Linked DNA regions of Mus musculus. Each later gene encodes a partner of the first gene's protein in a complex. Links are inferred from orthologs where the notes say so. Each region holds a gene or a part of one and is shown on either strand. Other genes may lie near its edges. The genes, in order: Zc3hav1 and Khnyn.

Region 1 (3,804 bases):
CATGGTGCTGTCTTCTCATCAATGTAAGGTTTAATCAAAAACAAAGGTATTTGCAAGAGAATTAAATTAGTCCATCCAGGATCTTTCTGCTGACTTAGAAAATAGGTCAGGAATTGGAAAATAACCAAACACACAAACAAATCCAGCCGTTGCTCTCACTCCTTCCTCTATGCTCCCAGCTCCTCAGTTTGACCAGACTGATCTTTACAGCTGTGCTCCACATTGATCCAGAGTCCCTGAGTCACTGAAGGACAAGGTCTCAATAGGTAGGCCTGGCTCTTCTGGAACTTTCCCTGTGAACCAGGCTAAACTCAATTTCAGAGATCCCCCTGCCTCTGTCCTCCTCCTGCTTCTGCCCCACTTCCTGCCTCTGCCCCCTTCCTGCCTCCTGCCTCTGCCCCCTTCCTGCCTCTACCTCCTTCCTGCCTCTGCCCCCTTCCTGCCTCTGCCCCCTTCCTGCCTCTGCCCCCTTCCTGCCTCCTGCCTCTGCCTCTGCCTCCTTCCTGCCTCTGCCCCCTTCCCTGTCTCCTGCCACTGCATTACACTCATGCACCAAAGCTGGACAGTGACAGCACATGCCTTTAATTCCAGCATTTAGTAGAGGCAGGTAGATTTCTGAATTTAAGGCCAGCCTGGATTACAGAGTGAGTTCTGGGACAGCCAAGGCTACACAGAGAAACCTTGTCTGAAAACAAACAAACAAACAAACAAACCCACCACCACACCCAACTATTTTGTATTATTATTTTGTACTGTGCTAGGTCTGGGCCCTACTATAAACTTCTATATTAAACTGCCCCAGACCTACAGCATACAATAGCCACCAGAATCGCTGTATCATTATCATCATCTTTCTCATCCTCTTCTTGTTCATTTAATTTTTAGGTCAGCATACAATGTACTGGGTTTGACCATGACATTTCTATACATCTGTATCGTTATACTTTATTTTTCTCTCTTTCTGGTACTGTAGCTAAACCTGTGGGGCCTCTCTCAGGCTAGACCAGGCCTCTACCATTAAGAAATAGCCCCAACCTTTTTTCTTTCTATTTTAAGACTTGGTCTTACTAAGTTGTTGTGGCTAGCTTTGAGCTAGCTTTGTAGTACACACTAGCCTTGGACTAAATAAATCTTCCTGCCTCGGCCTCCTAAGCCTGCACTGTCAGGTCTGACCATATCTTATTCCTTAAACACCCACAAAGAATGAAGGGTTCATAAAAAAAAAAGCATTCTGTGTGAGGGCAGAGCCCTGAGATGAGAACGGGCTTCTCCCCACTCTCCCCTGGAACCATCAGTGGCATTAATTAGAAAGCTACTTTGAATAGCTCTGCAGCCACAGACAGCGATCAGGAAAAGCCATCTCTAGTAAACAGCAATGGCAGAGAACATAGCCAGCAGACGGAACAGTTTACAAATAGGAAGATCTTGAGTTGTTCCCAGAGAAAAAGACAAACAGACAAGGAGCCCTAGGGCCAAGGCAAAGCACCCTCAAGACAATGGAGCTGTCCTAACAAGGTAACTCAGCTTATTTTCTCTGAAGGCCACTGGAGTCCAGAGATGCAGTTCTACCAAGTGATGCCAAGGGCATCTCAAGGAAACCATGCGCATGGCTGGAGTCACAGTTCTCTCTCCTCCAGCACAAACCTTTTCCATATCTGATCTCCCGGTTTCCATGTAGGATCCACTCGAAATTATTCTTACAGATGTAATCCATATGAATCCGGCCCACCGCGTGAAATAGGAACATCTCAGTCTTGTTTTTCATCTTTTGCTTCTTTCTGATAAAGAGAAATGTGACATTCAGTACCAGGAACACTAGGCCAGCAAGATGGCCGCCACTGGGTACAAGAGCTGAGTTCAGTCACCTGGACCCATGTGGCCCGGGGTGGGGGGTGGGGGGTGGAGAACAACAGCCTCCAGCAAGTTTTCTTGTGATGTGCATGCCCCGCACCCTAGTGTCAAATAAATAAATGCACAAATAAAATAATAAAATGAATACGCCCCTCTTGATCTACTCGAATAACATGACCCTCCAAACAAGGTCTGATTATGTCACCTCTCAAAAGTGTCCCAGAGCTTCTGGTTCCATATCCTCTTTATCGTCACAATCTTGAATTGTTTCATGGATGCTTTAAACTGTTCACTTATTTTGGCATACTCCTCATCCTGGTTATTGAGCTCTATAAACTTAAGGGGAAAAAAAGATGTTTCTATGTTACCTAGGAAACACTGAGAGCATGCTAATCATCACATGTGCCCGCCCGTGCCCTGTCAACCACTGCTGTTCTCAGGAGGGCAGGGCTGGCTTAGCATGCCCATATCTGGTAATGAACCAACAGGCACATACACCTGTCTGTTCAGGCCAACCTTTGTGGTGTACCACTTAGTCCAAGAGACCCAGGAAGTTAATTGTTCAAATTCCAAAACCAACCAGTGACAGAGAGATCAGAGATGCCTACGGAACACATGCAGATTGGCCTTCACAAAAGCTGGAGCCAGATGTAAAGGCTAAACCAGACTAGGAACAGTCCTGTCTCCACCGGGATGGTGACAGCGTGGGACACAGGAAGCTGGGCTACTGTTGCTCTCAGAATCCTGCTTTCTTTATCAGTTATGGTCTCACAGGATGGCTGTGAGAATCTGCCTGAATGACATTGCATCTCTGGAGACACTGAGATGCCCTATAGAACAGTTGTTCTCTGAGAAAGCATCCTGGTTATACCCAGGCACCTTGCCTTTGACTCTGGAGCTAGGGTTTGAAGAAGCAACTCACTCATTCTGTTAACAAATCCATATGCTTACTGTAAAGCATTTTCCTACCTTTAAAGGATTCACCCACCAAACAAGCAAAGCCAGTTACCTCATATTCGTTAGAAGAAACAGTGCTAGCATTCCTCTGGGGAGAAGAAAACAGGGTCAGAGCATCTGCCTGGGGCATCACTGGCTGATGGCTACAAAGAAAGACAGAAGGAAAATTTACTCGGTTCCCTTTCTTTGTACCCTCAACACACAGCCAGAAAGTCAGGGCTTTTCTGGGAAATGTGGTGTTGACTTCTGTATATCCTCTGAACTACCCCTGAAAATTCCTGGTTCCAGCAACCACAGGTTTTAAAAAGGGGGAATTTAGTAATGTAAACACTCTCTCTCCCACTTCTTTACACTGTAAAAGCACGGAACGGCGAGATAGCTCAGGACGTACAGATGCCTGCATGAAGGCCTAATGGCGAGTCTCATTGCTAGATCCTTTCAGGTTGTAGGAAAGAACTGACTCTTTAGAGTTTGTTCTTGACGACCTCCTGTGTGTGGGGTGCACACACCTATACACACACGCACTGAGTAAATGAATGGATGGATGGATGGATGGATAGATAGTAGATAAAACTAAAGGCACCAATTCTTTTTGACGTATCTGCTCAACCTTCAAAGGTATAGGTTGTCAGGGGGAGCCTGTGTGTCTTGTAACTTCTTTGCCAAATGATAGACAGGTAAGCAAAGATTTCAGGGTGAGAGATCAGCTGGAAGACTGAAATACCCACAGCCATCCCTTAACGTCAGTAAACAGGGTAACTAACCAGAGCATAGCATCCCGACCAAAAACCCAGCCTGGACCAAAAACCCAGCCTGGACCTGACAAGTCCTCAAAATCTACTAACCAGCCAACAGAAGCCACCCATAAAATGGTCTCACTGGAATATGATGGCGTATATTTTGATTGATCAAAATACCTATTTTTTTCTTACCCTTTATTTTAAAAATTGCATTTTAAAAATAGAGGGTAGTCAGATGTGAAGGCACATACCTTTA
Region 2 (4,270 bases), on another chromosome or scaffold:
AGGAAGGGCTACGGTGCTGTGTGTATGAATGAAAGAAGGCCAACCAACGGTCAGTGGCCATCTTAGAGGAAGGTGGTGCAAGAGATGCAGGTAATGGTTTCCTTGGAGTCCGAGGGATGCAAAGGGGCTTGGACAGTAGAGTCCAGGTCCTTGCATGTCTTCCGGACAGAGGCAGAGGGATTACCTGGTCGAAGTAGATGGCACCACTGGTACCGTTGCCGGTTTCTCCTGCTGGTTCATGGTGATGGCTTCGGACTGCAGCAAACGCCACTCGTCCTGGGGGTGCCTCTCCCAGGGCTGCACCCCCAGGTCCTCCTGCAGTAGGTCGGCCTGGCTCACAGACCACCAGGCACTCCCCCTCCAGTAGGACAGGCTCTGACCCTTCTTGAGCCCACCCAGCCTCCAGGGTCAGAAGCACCAGGGCCAAGGACAGCTTGGGTTTGTGCCATTCCGTCCCCATCCTTGCTAGGTGCCTCTGTAACTCACAGATTTTCCTGTCTTCTGTCCCCTTGGCTCTCCCCCCTCTGCTTCAAGGCTTCAGTACTCCTGCCCTGCTCTGCTGTCCTCTGTGAGTCTGGCACCTAGCCCGGGCACTCCCCTCCCTGTATCTTTTTGTGTCCCACAGCTCTGCCTGGCCTTACTACTGCTGTCTCTGCGGATCCCTCCTCCTTGGCAGAGCATGGAGTGACAGCAGTTGGGCCCTGGGAGGGAGAAGAGGAATGGAGAGAGGATATGAGGGCTCTAGCCACACAAGGGTGTGTACACACACACACACACACACACACACACACACGAAACAAAATTTCTTCAATTCCTTTCTCATCTTCTCCTTTTCAGTCTTTCTCCATGGGGTTTTCCTTATTGTGGCAAGGTGTGTGTCCTCATCTCCCCCCCCTTCCCCCCCTACTCCCCCAACTCTATCTACTTGGTGAAAGTGCTTGTGTCAAGGGCAGGATTCTCTTGTGACTCTGGACCAGTCACTTCTCTTGGAACCATCAACTGCAGAACTCCCAAGGACCCCAGGAACTGGAGGCGAACGTGAGAGTTGGCAGGAGGCGTTGGGGGTGGGGTGAGTGTCTGTGACCCGGTAGGCCCCGCAGGGGATGTGGAGGGCGGGTCGCTCGGCAGCAGGACAGCAGGCCGAGCCGGGGAGGAGGAGCGCAGCCCTGCCCCGAGCCCTGGCCAGTGCGGCCCTAGCGGGGGAGGAGCCGAGCTGGCTCCGCCCCGGGCCGGAAAGTGACTCCAAAGCCACAACGCGTTGTTGACGAGAGAAGTCTAGGTTGGGTGAAGGATCCGAGAAGGCCCTCCCAGATTCGGGCTCCCAGCCCCAGGCCCCTGGGGCGCGGGAGAAACGCGGGCCCCTCCTCCCCCGCCGCGGGCACCTAGAGGAGCGGGCGGAACTCGCGGCTTTGGCGGTAGGCGTCCCCCTTCCGGGCGATCGGGAGCTGAAGGCCGTGGCGGGAGGGTGGTCGGGCTGGGGGCGGCCGCCGCAGGCTGTGGGAGGGCGGGCTATGCCCCTGGGCCCCGGGTGGGATGCTTGACAGTGGACAAACGAGGAGGGGGGGCGGGGGCGGGGAGGTGGGAGTGGTTAGTGAAGGAATAAGGCGGATAGGGGAAACCCCCACCCCAGGACTACACTGTTAGAGCCTCTGGCGCGTATTCATTTCCCAAGAGGCCCTCCTCTACTCAAAAAATCCGAGACCTCTCAGCTCTGGGACTCTTTCCTCAAACCACCCACTTCTTGTGACCCTCAAAATGAGCTGGAGGCCCTCTCAACTCGTCCCTTCTCAGGGCGGTGGTCATCAGTTTTCTCTGGCCAGTCGCCCACCCCAGCTAGCCCTGTTTAAGAAGGGCTTACTCTCAGGGAGAGGCCTGTGTATAGATGATTTTCTATATTCTCCACCCGCGAGGTGGACTTGCTATCTCCTGGGGTTGTTTACCAGTTCTGTCACTAGGTGCGACCTGTTGATTGTTGGATGTATGCCATGTGATTAGGATTTGGGTTGAAGGGAGACAGAGACTTTGAGATTGCCTCTGCCCTTCCAGGACTCCAGGTAGAAGCCATGTCTACTTGGGGGTTTGCCTCCCCGACTCCCGACCGCTTTGCGGTGTCTGCGGAGGCCGAGGACAAGGTTCGGGAGCAGCAGACTCGCTTGGAGCGTATCTTCAACGTGGGAATGAGCGTCCTCTCCAAAGACTGCCCAGAGAATCCTCATATCTGGTTGCAGCTTGAGGGCCCCAAGGAGAACGTCTGCAGAGCCAAGGTGAAGTCCTCTTCCTTTTAGGGCTGCTACAAAGCCTTTTAGGACGCTGCCCCTCCCGAGGCCGAGTCGGAGGAGGGACTGGGAAATGCCTCTTGGCAATCTTATTGGCTGCCTCTCTCTTGAGCTTTGAGGAACTCAGCAAACCTTTTTATTTAGAATTTTGGTTTCACTTCTGCTGTGCTGCCTAGGTTCTTCAGGCTTTAGAACCAAATCACTTCATGCTCTTGGAGATAGTAAGGTAATCCCCTCTGTACAGGTGGGCCTTGCCAGGGAATTCCCTGGGGTTGAGAGGGGGCCGGCCACTTTTTCCCCCCTTTGCACCCAAGGCCAATAGGCTCCATCACTTGACAGCCCTCTGGTCTGTTCTTACATTTCCATAGGTCTACAGTGTGAATAGAAACAGTATCTACTTAGATGATGTAATAGCTTGAAGCTCAGGGAGAGCAGTGAATCTGAAAGGGATGGCTTCTAGAAGTTTCCTCTCTGACCTCCCTATCTAGGAATACCTGAAGGGGCTCTGCAGCCCAGAACTACAGAGTGAGATCCACTACCCACCCAGACTGCACTGCATCTTTCTGGGAGCCCACGGTTTCTTCCTTGACTGCCTGGCCTGGAGCACATCTGCCCACCTGGTGCCTCTGCTTCCTGGCTCTCTGATGATCAGTGGCCTAACCGAGGCGTTTGTGATGGCCCAGAGCCGGGTGGAGGAGTTAGTGCAACGGCTGAGCTGGGACCTTCAGCTACAGTCTTGTCCCGGAGCCCCTGACAATGGCGGAGTGCTGAGAGACTTCTCTGCCCTGCTGCAGACTAGGGAGGATGCCTACACAGAGGCCCTGCTGCGGCTGCCCCTGGCCGTGCAGGAGGAGCTCCTAAGCCTGGTGCAGGAGGCATCTAGAGGGCAGGGTCCATCTCGTGAGGTGGGGAGCTCAGGCCTGTTGAGTCCTCAGTTCCAGGGAGTCAGGGCTCCCTTGAATGAAGGCAGGGAATTCGTAGGCACCAGAGTGGCAGGGTCGGGAAAGTCGCCAGCAGTAAGAGGACAAAGTCATACTGTGGAGAAGGAGGAAAGGAAACAGGATGCTGTCAGGGACATGGGTTCAGGGCGGAAGGAGCTGTCTGGGGAAGAGGTCTGGGAGCCTGGAGTGGCTTACAGGTCACAGCTAGCAGGTGGAGGAGCAGAGGAGGTGGCACCCTTGAAGGGAAAGGCCTCGGGGAAACAGGAGGTTCCTCAGCAAAGAGGAGGGTTCAGTGTGCAGGGTGAACCTTCAGGTGCGCATGTGCCCTGTCAGAGGGCAGCTCCAATCCGGGGAGCCTCTCTCCTCCAGCGGCTCCACAATGGGAGCGCCTCACCTCCGAGAGTGCCTAGCCCTCCGCCCGCGCCGGAACCCCCATGGCCCTGTGGAGACCGAGACCGAGATCGAGATCGGGGAGACAGGGGAGACAAGCAGCAGGCTGGAGCTCGAGGCCGAGGGTCTCCGTGGAAGCGAGGCACTCGTGGGGGCAACTTGGTGACTGGCACGCAGCGTTTCCAGGAAGCCTTACAGGATCCTTTCACCCTGTGCCTTGCCAATGTGCCTGGCCAGCCAGATCTCCGTCACATTGTCATTGATGGCAGCAACGTGGCCATGGTGTAAGTAGCTGGTGGGACTGAGTTCTGGAGACAGCCTCTGAGGGGCTTGTGCCGCAGCCTTCTCTGGGTCCTGACGTCGACGCTCTCCGTAACAGGCACGGACTCCAGCATTACTTTTCCAGTCGGGGTATTGCTCTCGCTGTACAGTACTTCTGGGACCGTGGCCACCGTGACATAACCGTCTTTGTGCCTCAGTGGCGCTTCAGTAAAGATTCCAAGGTCAGAGGTAAGTTGGGTCTGGTCATCTGTGTCCTGGTGAGGCTGGGTCCACCTTGAGAACCCTGTTGCACTTTGTTCTACAGAGAGTCACTTCCTGCAGAAGTTGTATTCCCTGAGTCTGCTTTCCCTGACACCCTCACGAGTCATGGATGGCAAGAGG

What was found.
Region 2: the proteins of Zc3hav1 (region 1) and Khnyn are in contact, whole or in part, in a crystal structure (PDB 9BGL), measured with the Homo sapiens proteins. The link is inferred for Mus musculus from reciprocal best matches to the Homo sapiens genes ZC3HAV1 and KHNYN. Residues at the interface, in NP_064504.2 of Homo sapiens: Glu5, Val6, Cys8, Phe9, Lys12, Ile13, Ala16, His17, Glu29, Ile30, Ala31, Leu32, Leu113, Glu115, Phe118, Ser127, Gly128, Leu129, Asn130, Glu133; in NP_001277186.1 of Homo sapiens: His651, Lys652, Asp654, Phe655, Gln658, Arg659, Pro661, Tyr662, Asn677, Phe678.

The regions. Positions count from the first base shown.
Region 1 is NC_000072.6:38,309,534-38,313,337, forward strand, and holds part of Zc3hav1 (zinc finger CCCH-type antiviral protein 1), read right to left. Parts: intron 2,952-3,804; coding exon 2,861-2,951; intron 2,188-2,860; coding exon 2,057-2,187; intron 1,779-2,056; coding exon 1,645-1,778; coding exon of another isoform or gene 1,526-1,644; exon of another isoform or gene 964-1,525; intron 1-963.
Region 2 is NC_000080.6:55,883,728-55,887,997, forward strand, and holds the start of Khnyn (protein KHNYN), read left to right. Parts: upstream 1-1,214; 5' UTR 1,215-1,415; intron 1,416-2,046; 5' UTR 2,047-2,063; coding exon 2,064-2,264; intron 2,265-2,764; coding exon 2,765-3,891; intron 3,892-3,986; coding exon 3,987-4,117; intron 4,118-4,193; coding exon 4,194-4,270. Other genes in the region: Cbln3 (cerebellin-3 precursor), read right to left, coding at 185-460.